2 linked regions of the Diceros bicornis minor genome follow. The protein of the gene in region 1 purifies or fractionates together with the protein of each later gene. This does not show direct contact. Links are inferred from orthologs where the notes say so. Each region holds a gene or a part of one and is shown on either strand. Other genes may lie near its edges.

What was found. The genes of interacting proteins can lie anywhere in the genome.
Region 2: the proteins of MAVS (region 1) and PLAAT4 purify together in Homo sapiens (affinity purification with western blotting; 4 studies listed by BioGRID). This does not show direct contact. The link is inferred for Diceros bicornis minor from reciprocal best matches to the Homo sapiens genes MAVS and PLAAT4.

What each region holds. Positions count from the first base shown.
Region 1 is NC_080758.1:32,224,795-32,232,702, reverse strand, and holds the start of MAVS (mitochondrial antiviral-signaling protein), read right to left. Parts: upstream 3,016-7,908; 5' UTR 2,977-3,015; intron 2,747-2,976; exon of another isoform or gene 339-2,746; intron 1-338.
Region 2 is NC_080770.1:9,410,931-9,418,045, forward strand, and holds the start of PLAAT4 (phospholipase A and acyltransferase 4), read right to left. Parts: upstream 3,013-7,115; 5' UTR 2,709-3,012; coding exon 2,691-2,708; intron 2,613-2,690; exon of another isoform or gene 2,529-2,612; coding exon of another isoform or gene 2,520-2,528; intron 1-2,519. UniProt on the Homo sapiens protein: Exhibits both phospholipase A1/2 and acyltransferase activities. Shows phospholipase A1 (PLA1) and A2 (PLA2), catalyzing the calcium-independent release of fatty acids from the sn-1 or sn-2 position of glycerophospholipids.

The DNA of each region.
Region 1 (7,908 bases):
AAGGTGAATAAAACGAAGTACCAACAAATTAAGGGGGCTTGCTAGTTAGTGGAAGAGCAAAGAACGGAGGTCTTCCAGATCCAGGATCATGTTCTTTGCAGAGCACGACCGCAGGTCCACTCTTAAAGCTTGCTATATACATGTTCTTAGGGCAGGAGGCTGAGTTCCCCTCACTGTGTGAGCCGGGGCAAGTTACCAGTCTTTTCCAGGCTTTTCCTCACCCATAAAATGGCTCAGGGAGCTTGTTTGGACGATACAGTAGTTCAGCCTTACAAGCTTGAAATTTCAAAGTGCCTCGAATACAGGCCATCGCTGCTGCTTGCTTATGTGGCACTTACCACAGTCTGCGATTACAGATGTGTTTGTTTCCTTGTTTCTTATTTGCCTCTCTCACTGGGGAGAGCTGCAGGGAATAAGACAGACAAGACCTCTGCCATCATCCAATTTATATTCTATTGGGGTGGGACAGATAGCAAATCAGTAAACATATACATAAACAAGAATCCCAGATAGTAATCAAGGTCTCCGGCCACGCTGAGGCCGTGTCCCACGTACAGCGACTGGAAGGATGTGCAGCTATGGCATACAACTATCTACTGGGGCTTTGGGGGAAAAAATAAATAAATAAAATTAAAAAAAAAAAAAAAGGTTATAAAGAAACCAAAGCAGGGTAATGAGACAGAGCCCCTGGAGAAGGGCGTGCTGCTTGAACTGGGATGGTCAGGGAAACCTTTCTGCATTGGCAACGTTTGAGCTGAGCTGTTCTTGGCTGTGAGAAGATCGGTGTTTCAGGCAGAGGCCACAGCAAGCGAGAAGTCCTACGGTGGAAATGAACTTGATATGTTTAAAGGTTAGAAAACAGGTCAGTGTGGTGGAGGTCTAGAAAGCTAGGGGGAGGGGTAGACATCAAGGTTAAGGGGTTGGGAGGGGCCACTCACGTAGGGTGTTATAGGAAAGGACTTTGGTTTTATTTGGAGTACAAAAGAAAGCCATTGGAGGGATCTGAGCAGGGAAGGGAGAGGATTTGACTTATGTTAAAGACTTCTCTGGAGGCTGTAAGGACCCTGGACTGTGGAGGGGCCGGATGGAAGCAGGGAGACAAGTCAGGAGGCCAGGGCAGGGGACACACGACAGGTACAGGTACGGCTGAGATGGTAACCATGGCGAGAGGTGGTTGGATTCTTGGCGTTTTGTGGATGTGGAGGTGAGGGAGAGAGAAGAATCAAGGGTGACTCCTCAGGCACTGGGTGGATGGTTGGTCCAAAGAATCTAGCAGAGGAGCAGTGGCACAGAGGGGACTCCAGAGTTCCATTTTGAACAAGTGAAGCTTGAGATGCTATTGGATGCCCCAGTGGGTTTTCAGGAAAGGAAGGGGCGGCAGAGGAGAGAGTGCCAGGCTGGAGTAGAAACATGGGTGTCAGGCTTGGGTGAAACCCCTAGGAGACAGTGCTGCAGAGCAGAGAGTGCCCAAAAGCTGCTGAGGCCACCAATCCCTCACCACATGGGAAATGGGGCAGCAGTCCTGTCTACCAGCATCACAGCCTCACATTGCATGACTCACTTTGCCAACCACCAGGAATGTATCGCAACATCCCTAATGGGGCAACTGCTAATGACAGAGGTCAGGAGGATGGTGGGGGCAGGGGTCCTTTGAGACTTCAGATGAGCAAAGAACAACTCTGTGGTGGCTAATAGACCCTTTTCTCCTTCCCCCCATGGCATCCAGGGAGGTACCAGGAGAGAGTCGAGTGATACATTCTTCTGCATCCTAGCCTCAGCCCGTAAGGCACAGAATTTGGGGGGTATGGGGGTATGATGCGGTCCAACCAAAAAGAAAGGAAGCCCGTAGCTGTTCACATTTATTGAGGGTCCACTATAAGCAGGCACATCCTAAGTTTCTTTCACTTAATCCTTGGCACAATCCCATGAGAGGAGAAGTGATGCCACGTTGCACAGCTGACCAGTGGCCCTGAAAGGACTTGGAACCCAGGACTTGCTGCCTCGTTGAGGCTCACCATACACACTGCAGGGCATAGACGCCCCTGCAGCAAGTATGAGTCACACAGCACCTGGCTTCAAGCCCTGGGAGGGGCCAAGGCCGCTGCCTGGGTGAGGGTGCCCTTCAGAGGATGCAACATTTATTCCTTTCTCTCTCGTGGGAAATGGAAATCTTTCAGGCAGGGCAGGACACTAACCCTGCCCGCCGCGGTTCCAAGGTCGCTGACTGTTCTTCCAGACGTTTTTGAGGCTCCACAGTATCCATACGGAGAAGGTTGTTTTTGTTTTCCAATGTTTTCCTAGCACCGCCGTCGCGTCTCCGAGATGGCTGGCAGAGTGTTTTGGACCGACGCGGCAAGGAGAGTTTCCCACCTGACCGCCCCAGAGGCTCTGAGCGCGCTCCAGAAAGAAATACCCACCCCCGCGGGCGGGGCGAGGCCTCACAACCTCGGCTCCGATTCCTGGATTCCTGGGCCCGACCCAGCTTCGCGGAGGACGGGGAGGCTGTTCTTCCGAGCAGGTGTCACCACCGAGAACTGTCAAGACTCAGAGGAAGGCGGCAGCTCCCGACCCCCAGGCGCGGCCGCGGCCCCAGAGGTTTGCGCACCCCGGCTAGGCCTCGCCCGGGGTCACCCTGGGCCTGCGGGCGGCTGGAGGAGCCCAGCAGCAGACGCCAGTCTCCTGGCCTAACCTCGCTGTATCCGGAGCAGAAGCCTCGCGCCACCCACCTCCCGACCCCGGTACCGGATGCTGCGCGTGGAGCCCTCGCTGCCTCAAGCCCCGTGTGCCTTAGGTCCCACTCTTCCCCAGCCCCTCCCGCCCTGCCCCCTCCCCGGCCCGCGCGCGCCCACACCACGTGCGCCCCGGCGGACTCCAAGTACCCCTCGGCTCCTGCCGCCACGGGCCACCTCCACCTCCCCGAAAGGCGTCCGTGCGCCCTGAGCCCAGAAGACCGAGCGCCCGGGGCGGCCAGCTTACCTCGGGTAGCCACGACCCGGCGACCGACCGCCGCTGACAGCCCGGAACCCTCCCCCACAGGGAGGGAGGGGTCGGGTCGGGGCCGGGCCGCGCGGCCATTGGCCAGGCGGCGGGGGCGGGGCTCGCGGCCCGCGAGAGCCTTGCGGCGCCCGGCGCTCGGCGGTGGTTTGAGAGCCTGGCCTCGCGGGACGGGCGCTCGGGATAGACCTGGGTTCCTGGGGGGGCACGGAGGAGCAGATTATTTTCTTTCCTTGTTTTGTCTCGAGCAACTTCCAGGGGAAGTCCAGGATCTGGCTAGAAACCGAGTGGGCGGCCGATCTCGGAGTCGACGGCCACCTCGGTCTCCGCGCTTCCTACGCGAAGCAACCCCTCCTCCGCGGAGTAGTTTGAGGGAGTGAAGATCTTTATGTCGTTCGCTCCTGGGCGCCCAGGGCCTGGCACACAGTTAGTGCTCAGTAAACCTCGGGTGTCAAGCAAAGTGCACAGGGGCGCGAGTGCCCAGCCAGGCGAGGCACATGCTGGGCCTGAAGAAGCAGGATCGGGGCGGGGTAGGGGTGGGCCGGGTAAGTGGTGCAGGGCAGGGGCGCCAAGGTTGACTCGCCAGTCACGCTGGCTGTGGGCCCGGAGTGCTGTGTGGGAAAGGCCTCTCCACCTAAGGCAAGGGTCTGGGGCCAGTACCTCCCTGCACTGCTTGCCAACAGCCTCACCATTCCTCTGGGGCAGAGGTCAGCAATTACTGAGCGTTCACTATGTTCCAGGTACAGGCTTAAAGTCTTATACCTTATGACCCATTAAATACTCTCACAATAACCAGGTAGAGGTTTATTTTTCCCGTTTTCAAGAGAGGTTAAAAAATTTGGGAAAATGGCAATTCTTACTAAAGTTACATATATGCCAACCCTATCACCCAGCAACCACTCCTGAGTATGTGTCCACCTAGAAACACACACAATAGATAATGTTCATAGTGGCTTTATCTACAACAGGCAAACTCTGGAAACAACCAAATGTCCATCAGCAGGACAATGGAGAAACAAACTGTGGTGTGCTGACACCATGGAATAGCATACAGCAGTGAAAAAGAACAAACTATTGATACACACAACATGGAAGAATCTTACCAGGATGAATGGGCACCATGACTAACCAAGCCAAGCACAAACAGTACCTGCTGTCTGTCCCCAGTTACAAGGTAAGATTCAAACACAGGCAAACCTCATCTACATAAATAGAAATCATTTCACTGGTTACCTCTGGGTGTTGAGGGGTGGGGTAGAAGGGAGCCTTCTAGGGGGATGGAAATGTTCTATATCTTGATGTGAGTGGTGGGTACATGGGCTTGGGCATATATAAAAATGCATCAGCTTACACTTAAAATTGTTACCAAAAAAATTGTTACACTTTATACTGCAACTTAAAAAGGAAGAAAGAAAGACAAATGAGGGGTTAAGAGATTTGGCAGAGATCATGTGCAAATGCCTGAGTACATACCTGTCTCCAAAGCCAGTACTCCCAAACCGAATTGCAGGAAGATGCCTGAACTCTTTTCATGTGAGATTTTATTACTTTACTTGGTAACCCTGTGGCTATTTCACAATGTTCAGCATTTACAAAATATTAATATCACACCTGAACTCAACTAACCATAGGTTAGTTGGCCAGCTCTGTCTTGTTTAGCCAAGACAGGGTGAATGTTGATTGGTTCAAGAATTACTCCTGCCTGCTACCTACCCCAAATCCAGTGACCTCATATCTAATTCTTGCAGGAAGAACATTGGGAGTGTAGCGACTGGCTTCCAAATGCAGTTGTCACCCCTGTCTTTGCTGGAACTCGAAGGGTATTAAAAAAATACAGCATCCTCAAAAACACAATACTTTCTTAGTCCATTTGGGCTGCTCTAACAAAAATACCATAGACCGGATGGCTTAAACAACAAACATCTATTTCTTGGTTCTGAAGGTTGGGAAGTCCAAGATCAAGGTGCCTGCAGATTCCATGTCTGATAAGGACCACTTCCTGGTTCATAGACGCAGTCTTCTCACTGTACCTCATATGGTGGAAGGAGCAGGGGAGCTCTTTCAGGTCTCATTTAAAAAAGCACTAATTCGGGGCCGGCCTGGTGGCGCAAGCGGTTAAGTGCGCGCAATCCGCTGCGGCGGCCCGGGGTTCGCCAGTTTGGATCCTGGGAGCGCACTGACGCACTGCTTGGCAAGCCATACTGTGGCGGCGTCCCATATAAAGTGGAGGAAGATGGGCACAGATGTTAGCCCAGGGCCAGTCTTCCTCAGCAAAAAAAAAAAAAAAAAAAAAAAGGAGGATTGGCAGATGTTAGCACGGGGCTGATCTCCTCACAAAAAAAAATAATAAAATAAAAATAAAATGAAATAAAAAAGCACTAATTCCATTCTTGAGGGCTTCACCCTTATGACCTAATCACCTCCCAAAGACCTCACCTCCAAATACCATCACATTAGGGATTAGGTTTCAATATAGGAATTGCGGGGGTGCATAAACATTCAGTCTATAGCAGATATCAACCAGTAGGATGGCTATTATAAAACAAACAAACAGAAAGTGTTGGCAAGGACATGAAGAAATTGGAACCCTTGTACACTGCTGGTGGGAATGTGAAATGGTGCAGCTGCTGTGGAAAATAGTATGGCGGTTCCTCAAAAAATTAAAAATAGAATTACTATATGATCCAACAATTCCACTTCTGGATACATACCCAAAGAAATGAAAGCAGGGACTCGAACAGATATCTGTACACCCGTCTTCATGGCAGCATTATTCACAACAGCCAAAGGTAGAAGCAACCCAGATGTCTATTGATGAATGAATGGATAAACAAAATGTGGTATATTCATACAATAGAATACATTATTCAGCCTTAAAAAGGAAGGAAATTCTAACAAATGCTATAACATGGATGAACTCTGAAGACATCATGCTAAGTGAAATAAGCCAGTCACAAAAGGACAAATATTGTATGATTCCACTTCTATGAGGTATCTAGAGTAGTCAGATTCATAGAGACAGAAGGTAGAATGCTGGTTGCCAGGAGCTGGGGGCAATGGAGAATGGAGAGTTAGTGTCTACTGGATAGAGAGTTTCAGTTGGGGAAGGTGAAAAACTTCTGGAGATGGATGGTGGGGAAGGATGCACAACAATGTGAATGTACTTAATGCCACAGAACTGTACACTTAAAAATGGTTAAAACAGTAAATTTTATGTATATTTTGCCACAGTAAAAATCCTGGCCTTGGTGATTTCCTGCCACCTTTGTCAGGGAACCAAAGGAGGACACAACATCACATCTATAGTATTCTTCCTAAAACTCACAATTGGAGGCAAATCATGAAGAAACATCTAACAAACCCCAAATGAAGGACATTCAATAGCTGTCCTGTCCAATATAGCAGCCACTTGCCACATGTAGCTATTTTAATTAAAATTAAATAAAATGTAAAATTCAGTTCCTCAGCCTACAAGCCACATTCCAAATGCTATTTTCATGTGGCTAATGGCTGTCATATTGGACAGCACAGATATAGATTTTATAATTTTCTATCATCCCAGAAAGTTCTACTGGACAGTTAAAGTTATATTGGACAGCACTGAACTGCAGAATAACTCTTCAAAAATGTCAAGGCCATGAAAGACAAGGAAAGACTGAGGAACTGTTCCAGATTAAAAGAGAATAAAGAGAGGTGACAACTGAAAGCAACATGGCACCCTGGGTTGGACCTGAAATAGAAAAAGAACATCAGGGGCCGGCCCCGTGGCGTAGCAGTTAAGAGCGCGCACTCCGCTGCTGGTGGCCCAGGGTTCAGATCCCGGACGCGCACCGACGCACCGCTTGTCAAGCCATGCTGTGGCGGCACCCCATATAAAAAAGTAGAGGAAGACGGGCACAGATGTTAGCTCAGGGCCAGTCTTCCTCAGCAAAAAGAGGAGGACTGGCATGGATGTTAGCTCAGGGCTGATCTTCCTCACAAAGAAAAAAGAATAAAGAAAAAGAACAACAGTTGGACAAATGATGAAATCTTACTAAGAGCTTTTGGATTAGTTAATAATTTGTATCAGGGTTAGTTTTCTGGTTTTGATCATTGTACTGTGGTTATATAAGATGTAAACATTTGTATTATTTTTGCAACTGTTTTGTAAGTCTGAAATTATTTCAAGATGAAAATTAAAAAGTAAACTAAAATTTAAAAATCATCTTTTGACCCTTTCTGGCTATTTATATTATTTTATCTTTTATTGTTGATTGCATTCTGCCCTATTTCATGAGTAGAATTCATTGATCATTGTCCATTTACTAGTGAAAGGTGAGTCTAGAAAGTGATCTGTGCCCCAGCACCGCCCCCCCCCCCGGAAGGCCTCGGAACCACCCCACCCCCACCCCGTAAAGCTCATCCGGGGGCAGGTGGCCCATATCCCCAGGCCAGTGCTCTACAGAGGGCTGTGGCTCACATGTAATGACTCAGCAACCACCAGCTCACGTTTCCCCCCAGAGAGTCAAGTCAGGCCCAAAGATAGTGCCAGAGGGCCCCAAAAAGGGACATGTTCTCAGTCTGAGTCCCTTCAGGGAACTCTCCAACATTGAAAAACAAAATATAATCCCTACCTTTACAACCTCATTTCAAATAAGTTTTTAAACTGTTATTCTTTAAATTATTTTATTTTTTCATACTGTCAATTTTTTTTGGGGGGGGGAGGAAGATTAGAGCCTGAGCTAACATCTGTGCCCATCTTCCTCTACATTTTTTATATGTGGGACACCGCCACAGCATGGCTTGATAAGTGGTGCATAGGTCCGCACCTGGGATCCGAACCTGCGTAGCCTGGGCCACCGAAGCAGAGCGCGCGAACTTAACCACTATGCCACTGGGCCGGTCCCCACGCCATCAATTTTATTACAAAAAAGT
Region 2 (7,115 bases), on another chromosome or scaffold:
TTGTGTGTATGTGTGCATGTTCTGTGTGTGTACTGTGTATGTGTGTGTTGTGTATGTGTGTTATGGCGTATGTGTGTTTTGTGTGCATGTGTGCATACTGAGGATGCAGACATGTATATGCAGGTGCATTGTGCAGGTGCTCCGGAGCGTGTTAACATGACAGCCTGCATGTGGCAGTCCCAGGCCCAACCCCAGCAAAGTCGGGCAGGTGAGTCTTGAGCTTCCCTGTCGTTCCCAGACAGACTTTCAAGTCCTCATCACGTCTCCTGCCCCTGGTTGTGCATGACCGCACCAGGCTCCTCCTCCTCAGACTCTGTCCCCTTCAGCATTGGGACAACCGTCCTTGGAGATGCCCACCTGAGAGACAGCAACTGACAGCATCCTAATAGGACCTGAGCCTTTGAGGGGACCCTTGTGGGGCCACCCCGCTTACAGCACTGAGGGGGCTGCTGCACTCACACAGCCGGCCTCTGCTGGCCTTTTTCTACAATAACTGCAACCCTCACACCACCCCAGGGAAGGAAGCCTCACTCCATTGCTCAGGTGGGAAGTTGAGGACCAGAGAGATGACAGGATTTGTCTGAGAACAGTCAGCTGGGAAGCGGCTGAGCTGGGTCTTCTCTGCCACTTCTCTCCCTGGTCCTGACTCTCCCCTGCCTTCCTCCCCTTCCACACCTCCTTCCTGCTCCTCAATGTCCTGGCCCAGGGCACCACAGCTTCATGATTTGAGAATTCTTCAGTTTTTCTCCCTCCCTGTGCCTGATCTCAGCCAATGACAAACCTCCTCCATCCCTCAGCCGTCCAGTCTTAGACCAGGGGTCAGCTTACCTTTGTCTACTTTCTCATGCCAAGCCAACAACCAATGCTGACCCTGCAAGTTTCTCCTGAATTCCCTTCTCGTCCACCTCCCGCCCACTGACTAGGTTCGGGGCAGGCCTGTCCCTGCTTCTGGGGCAATTCTGGGAGTTGCCCAGATTCTGGAAACTGGGAACTCTGGGAATTCTAGGAACTCCCCCACAGCCTCCCGACCGGCCCCCTCCTCCTGTCCCTGCCACTCCACATCACGTCTGCCCAAGACCCACTGTCGCCTTCCCAACGGGCACATCTGGCCATGACCTTCCTCGGGCCTCAGGGCACAGGGCACGCCCTTCGGGCAGCTCCCAGGCGCTCAGGACCCGTCCTTCCTCACCCCTCCTCACACTCCCTCTGCTCTCCCCGCCAGGCTGACTGAATCACTTCCTTTCTCTCAGCACAGAGCCTGTGCTTGTCTCTGATGCTCTGGACATCAGGTATTTCTGTCCCCAAACACCTTCCCACACCCTCTCTTCCTCTTTCCCCCCATCAGACATCACTCCCCTGAGAAACTGCTCTGAAGGCCTCAGCCCGGCTCAGCTGCCACTGTCTGGGTCCCCAGGCCCCCGGGACCTCCACCTCTCCCTGCATGGGTCATGGGCCTGTCTGCACCCCCTCTGGGCTTTGAGCTCTGTTCAGGCAGGATCCTGTATACTCATCCTTCCCACCCTGCATCTCCAGGATTTGGCAAAGGGCCTGGCTTGGGGGCCAAGGAAATATACATGGAAGAGGGTTGGAGGATAAGCAGGGCCCGTCCAGCTCCTCCTCCAACTCAGCCAGGGCAGGGCAGCCCAGAGACCATCCCCACTTTGGAATCACAAAGGAATTTTTCACTCTGAAAGTAACTAACTAAGGCAAGGCCTGGGCTCTGCACACAGCAGCTGGGGCAGATGAAATGTGAGCTTGGGCTCTGCCCAGATAAGGAGATGGTTGCCCAGGCAATAGAGCCCTGATTTGGTTTTGGCAGCAATAAAGTTCCTCCCCAGAACTGAGTGATACACAGGGTGGACGACCCTCTAAAGTGTGATGTGTGTCTTTCCAGAATTGCCCCGTTTCCAATAATAGCCCAAGTCAGCTTGTTCCTTTTCAGCTACACACCACTGAGCTCCGCCTGCCCCTCCCTGGAAACTGTGTGAATCTGGACGTCAGGGCTGATGAGAGAGGAGATTCAGACTCAGAACGCTGAAATTCAAATGCACTTAATAAGGCAGGACAAATGCCATGGAGGAAAGAGGAGAGAGAAAAGGCCGGAGCTGAGGAGGCACGGAACTCCAGCCAACAGCTGAAGCAGACAAGGGGAGGCTCACTCACTTCCATTCTTGGAGTCCCACCCTGGCCACACTCCAGCTTCTTCCTGCAACTCGGGCAGCCACAGCTCCCAGACACCCACAGCTCTTCCCACAGAGGGGTCCCTGCATGCCCCAACCCACTGTGCCAGACACAGAGAGGAGGCTCACTCTGCCTGAAGACTGACGACCTCATAGTTCTGCAGGAAAAGGGACCTTTAAACAACAAATACAATGTTCCATAAAAGTCTTCTAAAGCCTTTGCATGCTCGAGAGTTAACTGTGCCCAAGTCCAGGAACCCAGACTGAGGTCTTTATAGGAGCAGAGTGGCCCCCCCGCCCTGTGCTAGAACCACTGATAGAAATTTCCAGGAGACTTACCTGAGCCATGGTGTACTGGGGTTCTACTGTTCACGGACCAGCTTTTATATCAAAGTTTAGAATTTCACTTTCACTTTCCTTCTGACACTGTTTGAAAACTACTCAATACTAAACATTTTTAAAAGAGAGACTAAATATTTTCACTAAACAGAAAGGCCAATGGTTACTTACCTCAAAACATGGAATCATTGGTGCTTTACAGCCACCCGGAAGCAGTCAGGGTAGGAGGGAAGGTTGATAAACTGCTCCTGCTTGAGAAACCCCAGGTCTCTTCCAAAAAAAGCCCTGGGCAAGTGTTCTTACTCTGAGAAGGGGCAGCATTTAGAGGCACAGAGGTGTCAACCCCCAGTGCACCCCATAGGCCATTGTCTTGTAACGACTCTAGGAAATATTGGGTCAGAAGCCATGGGGCAGGTCATACAGGGTGATGTATTCCAGGGGAAAAGCATTCAGATGGTGGGTGCCTTGGACCAGGTGGGGCCCAGGAGATCATTGCCCCCATAGGATGCGTTTGGCTGCGAGAAGCAGAAGAGGGTTACAACAGCCTGGACGTTCACTGTCTCTGGAACAGGAAGCCAGGAGGTGGGTGACTCTGCTTCAGTTCAGCAGCTCACAAGACCACTGAAGACCCAGGCTTTTCCATCATGCTGGTCCTGTGTCTGCAGTGACATCCTGCGTGGTCAACTATGGCTGCAGCAGCCTCAAGTGGCACATTTTCACCTGGCAATGTCCAAAAGCAGTAAAGGAAGGTGTTTCTCACCCTTTGTCTCTTTTTTTCTGGGGGTAAAGTCTTTTCCATAGTCCCCTGGCTGTCTCACTCCCATCTTTCACTGTCCAAATTTGGGTCACATTTCTACTCCCAAACCAATTGTGGGCAAAGGGGAAGGGGCTTCCTGGCAGGCTCAGACCACTCACAGTGCGTCAACTGGATCTGTGGAGGGGCTCCTACTGCCCAGTGAACAGCAGGGCTCTGTGAGCCTGGGAGAAGCTGAGTGACAGTGGTGTGTGTATGGGGTGGGGGAGAGAGACGGTTGTTAACTAGGAAACCAGCACATAAGATGCACTCACCTACTTCCCATCCACCATAACAAACAGCTTTATTATAAGGCAACAAAGAGGCTGAAACCAGTTCTCAAACACTCAGACTGCATCTCTATATGACCTAGCAGGAAAAATGGGAGTGATTGACTCACTGGAGATACGAAGACAAAGCAGCACACTTTCGGATGTGGGCAGAGCCCCCATCAGAACGAGCTCATGCCCCCGAGGACTCAGGAAGGGCACAGACTCTCCCAACGTGAGCCCCTGGCCCCAGGTTACCTTTACCAGACAGAGCTCCAGACACAGTGGTCCAATGTCCATTGGCTCCTCTGGCCTTGGCCTCAGGCCTGGTACCACCCATTCTGTTTCCAAGTGACCTTTATTTGTAAAAGGACCATGAGAGTCACTGGCTGTTTACCTCCCGGCATTAAGGTCATGTTCAAAATGGAAAAAGCAAAAAAAAGTCAGCTGCCAGGCCTTGTCTCTTTCAAGTAGTGTCACTTTGGGCAGTTGCCTGCCCTCTCCTCATCTCAGTTACCTCCTCTTTAAGAGTGAGGGCTCCATCTTTGTCAGCCAAGAGGCTGTGAGTCTGGACTTGGACCTGTGGACCTGGAGCTACAGAAGGGTGGTGGCTCTGGTCATCGTTGGCCCAGCTGGAGCCACCTCTGTCACTGGACTTCAGTTACTGAGGCCTGTCTTCAGGTTAAAGCTGTGAGGTGCATTCTGCAGCTGAGGTCTGTGCCTCTCCCTTCAGGCGCTCCTCTCCTGCTTCCATGTCTGGGATGTGACACTTGCCACGCCCTTCCTGCCTTCTTTCCTCCTCAGCTGCTCTGCTGTCAGGGTTGATCAGCTCCTGAGCAATTTATGACATTGATCCACCCTGCAAAATGTGCAGCTAGCTCTGGGATTTATTCCACATCTTTGCCCACGGACATTTCTAGGGTCTTCCCTCATGCTAGCCAGTAACACATCAGAACACATCCTCCCATGTCAACCAGAAGAGCAGGAAGGACAAGGCATCTGAGGGAAGAGGTAGTGCCCATCATCAAGGTTGCACTGCTCCCTAGGTGAGCAAGTGACAGGGGCTGTCGGGGGTCTAACTCTGAGATGACTACCTCGTGCAATACCCAACATATGCTGGGACCTCACCTTGGACCTTTAATCAACAGGTATAGAGTGAGTGCCTACTGTGTGTCAAGCACTGTCATAGGCAGTCGGAGATCCATTGGTGAACAAGACTGATAAGAAACGGTGCCATAGTGGATCTTACCTCCTTGCTGAGTAGACCAACAAAAATTTAGTAAGATAGATATTGTGTGAGATGGCCACAGTCTGAAAAAATGGAGAAGGGAATGGGGGTGGTAGCGATGGGGAGGTGCGATTTCAGATAGTGTGGCTGGGGATGGCCTCACTGAGCAGGTGACTTTTGAGTAATTAACACAAGAAGGTGGGGAGTGAGCCCTTCACGTAGATGGAGAAAAGACTGTCTAAGGCAGGGAAGCAGCCATTGCAAAGGCCCTGAGGCTGCATATGTCTGCCAGGGTATCTGGAGCCAGGGAGCAGGTCATAGGAGTTGATAGCCGAGAGGTAACAAGAACCTGATGTACAGGGACTGCAGGCTCCTTTCAGGTTGTTGATTTTTACTCTGAATTAGACAGGAGCCACTGGAGGGTTGGAGCACAGCAGTGAGGTGCTCTGACTCGTGTAGTTTTCATAGACTGTGTCTGGTTCCTGTGTTTAGAATAGCCTGTGCAGTCAAGAGTGGAAGGCAGAAGAGCAGTTTGCAGTCTTCCAGGCAACAGAGCAGCAAGAAGTGATTCGATTCTTGATATATTTTGAAGATAGGGTGTATTAGTTTGCTAGGGCTGCTGTAACAAATACTATTGACTTAAAAAGAGAATTTTATTTTCTTGTGATTCTGCAGGCTAGCAATCCAAGATCAAGGTGTCAGCAGGGTTGGGTTCTTCTGAGGTCTCTCTCCTTGGCTTGTAGATGGCCGCCTTCCCCCTGTGTCTTCACATGGTTGGCCATCTGTGCATGTCTGTGTCCTAATCTCTTCTTCCTATAAAGACACCGGGTGGATTAGGACCCACCCAATTGACCTTATTTTAACTTAATTACCTCTTGGAGACACTATCTCCAAATACAGTCACATTCTGAGGCACTAGGGGTTAGGACTTCAACATATAAATTTGTGGAGAATACAATTCAACCTATAACACTTACTTTTTGGCATAGCAATAATCCACGTTTGTCTTGTGTTTTCCCTGTCCCTACCCTGGAGTTAGTCATTTGTCCAAGGAGCCTGGTTCCTTTCAATGGATAGCGGTATGTAGAAACTAAAATCAGAAGATTTAAGGAACATCTGATTTAGTTCTGTATCTTGGAGCCAAAAATATTCTTATGGGGACATTGAGCCTTTCTCTCTAAAGCAGTGTCACACACCCCACCGACAGGATTTTCCTCTCGGGAGGCAGGGTCCCTCCAATCTGCACCCCTTTCCCTACTGCCCAACAGATACTTGGATTTGCAGTTCCCTGATGGAGAGAGGAAGAGAGGCTCCTTCTGGGGGTGGTTGTGGGAGACAGCATGAAGGTCCCATTAATTTGTGTCTATCTGGGTGTCAGCTCCCAGGAATTGGTGTCCTGGGGCTGGAGAGGGAATCTGAGAAGGGAATCCTTGTGTCACATGGCCATGGACAGAGTGGGCAGGAGGAACACGGTCAGGACCTCAGGGTCAGGCTGAAAAAAGGGAAGGGGAAACAGCTAACTCCAAGTTCTCCTGGGTTGTGCCTGGTGCTCTGACACACTGAATATGCTTGTTCATGAGGCACATGTGTCCACATGCACAAACACAGAAAGCAATTTGCACATGTACTCAGTCTACAGAGCACACACAATATTCTCACGTGCACACACACACACACACAGCTGGACAAACTCGCCTCTTCCACATCTCTCAGCAGGCATTTCCCTGGGCTCCAGTCCCTGGCACCCCCACAAAGGGCAGCACCCCCATGAGTCACAGCAAGGCTGGGGCACCCTATGCATGACAGGAGCTCGCACTTGGCTGGATCCACCCAGGAATACCAGAGCCTGGTGGGGAAGATGAGGCTTAGTCTACACACCTTCCTCTCTCTTCATCTCCTGGGTTGTCTATGGCAGACAGCCCCAGAGCCTGGACACGTGATTGCAATTTTGACCCCAGCTGTGATCACTGGAGGACAGTCATTGGTCCATGTGGCTTCTCCAGGTAGGGACACAGTTTTCTGTTTAAACATCAGCCTTGAGTTTAGTAGTAGTAACCTTTGGTAAACTAAGGTCAGTAATTGCTCTGATGAGTCCATCAGCTGGTCCTTGAGGAAATAAAATCCTAGAGACCTTTCTTCACTGTCGAATGAAACTTATTCTGCATCAATAGAGTTGTATTTTTTCGTAAACACCCTCATGTGTCTCAAAAGTGTCAGGTGACAGGATGTAAGAGAAATGTCAGGAGCAGAACCTGTTTGTAAATGACCCTCACTGTGTTGGCCTGTCCGCAGAGAGGTCTGGGCCT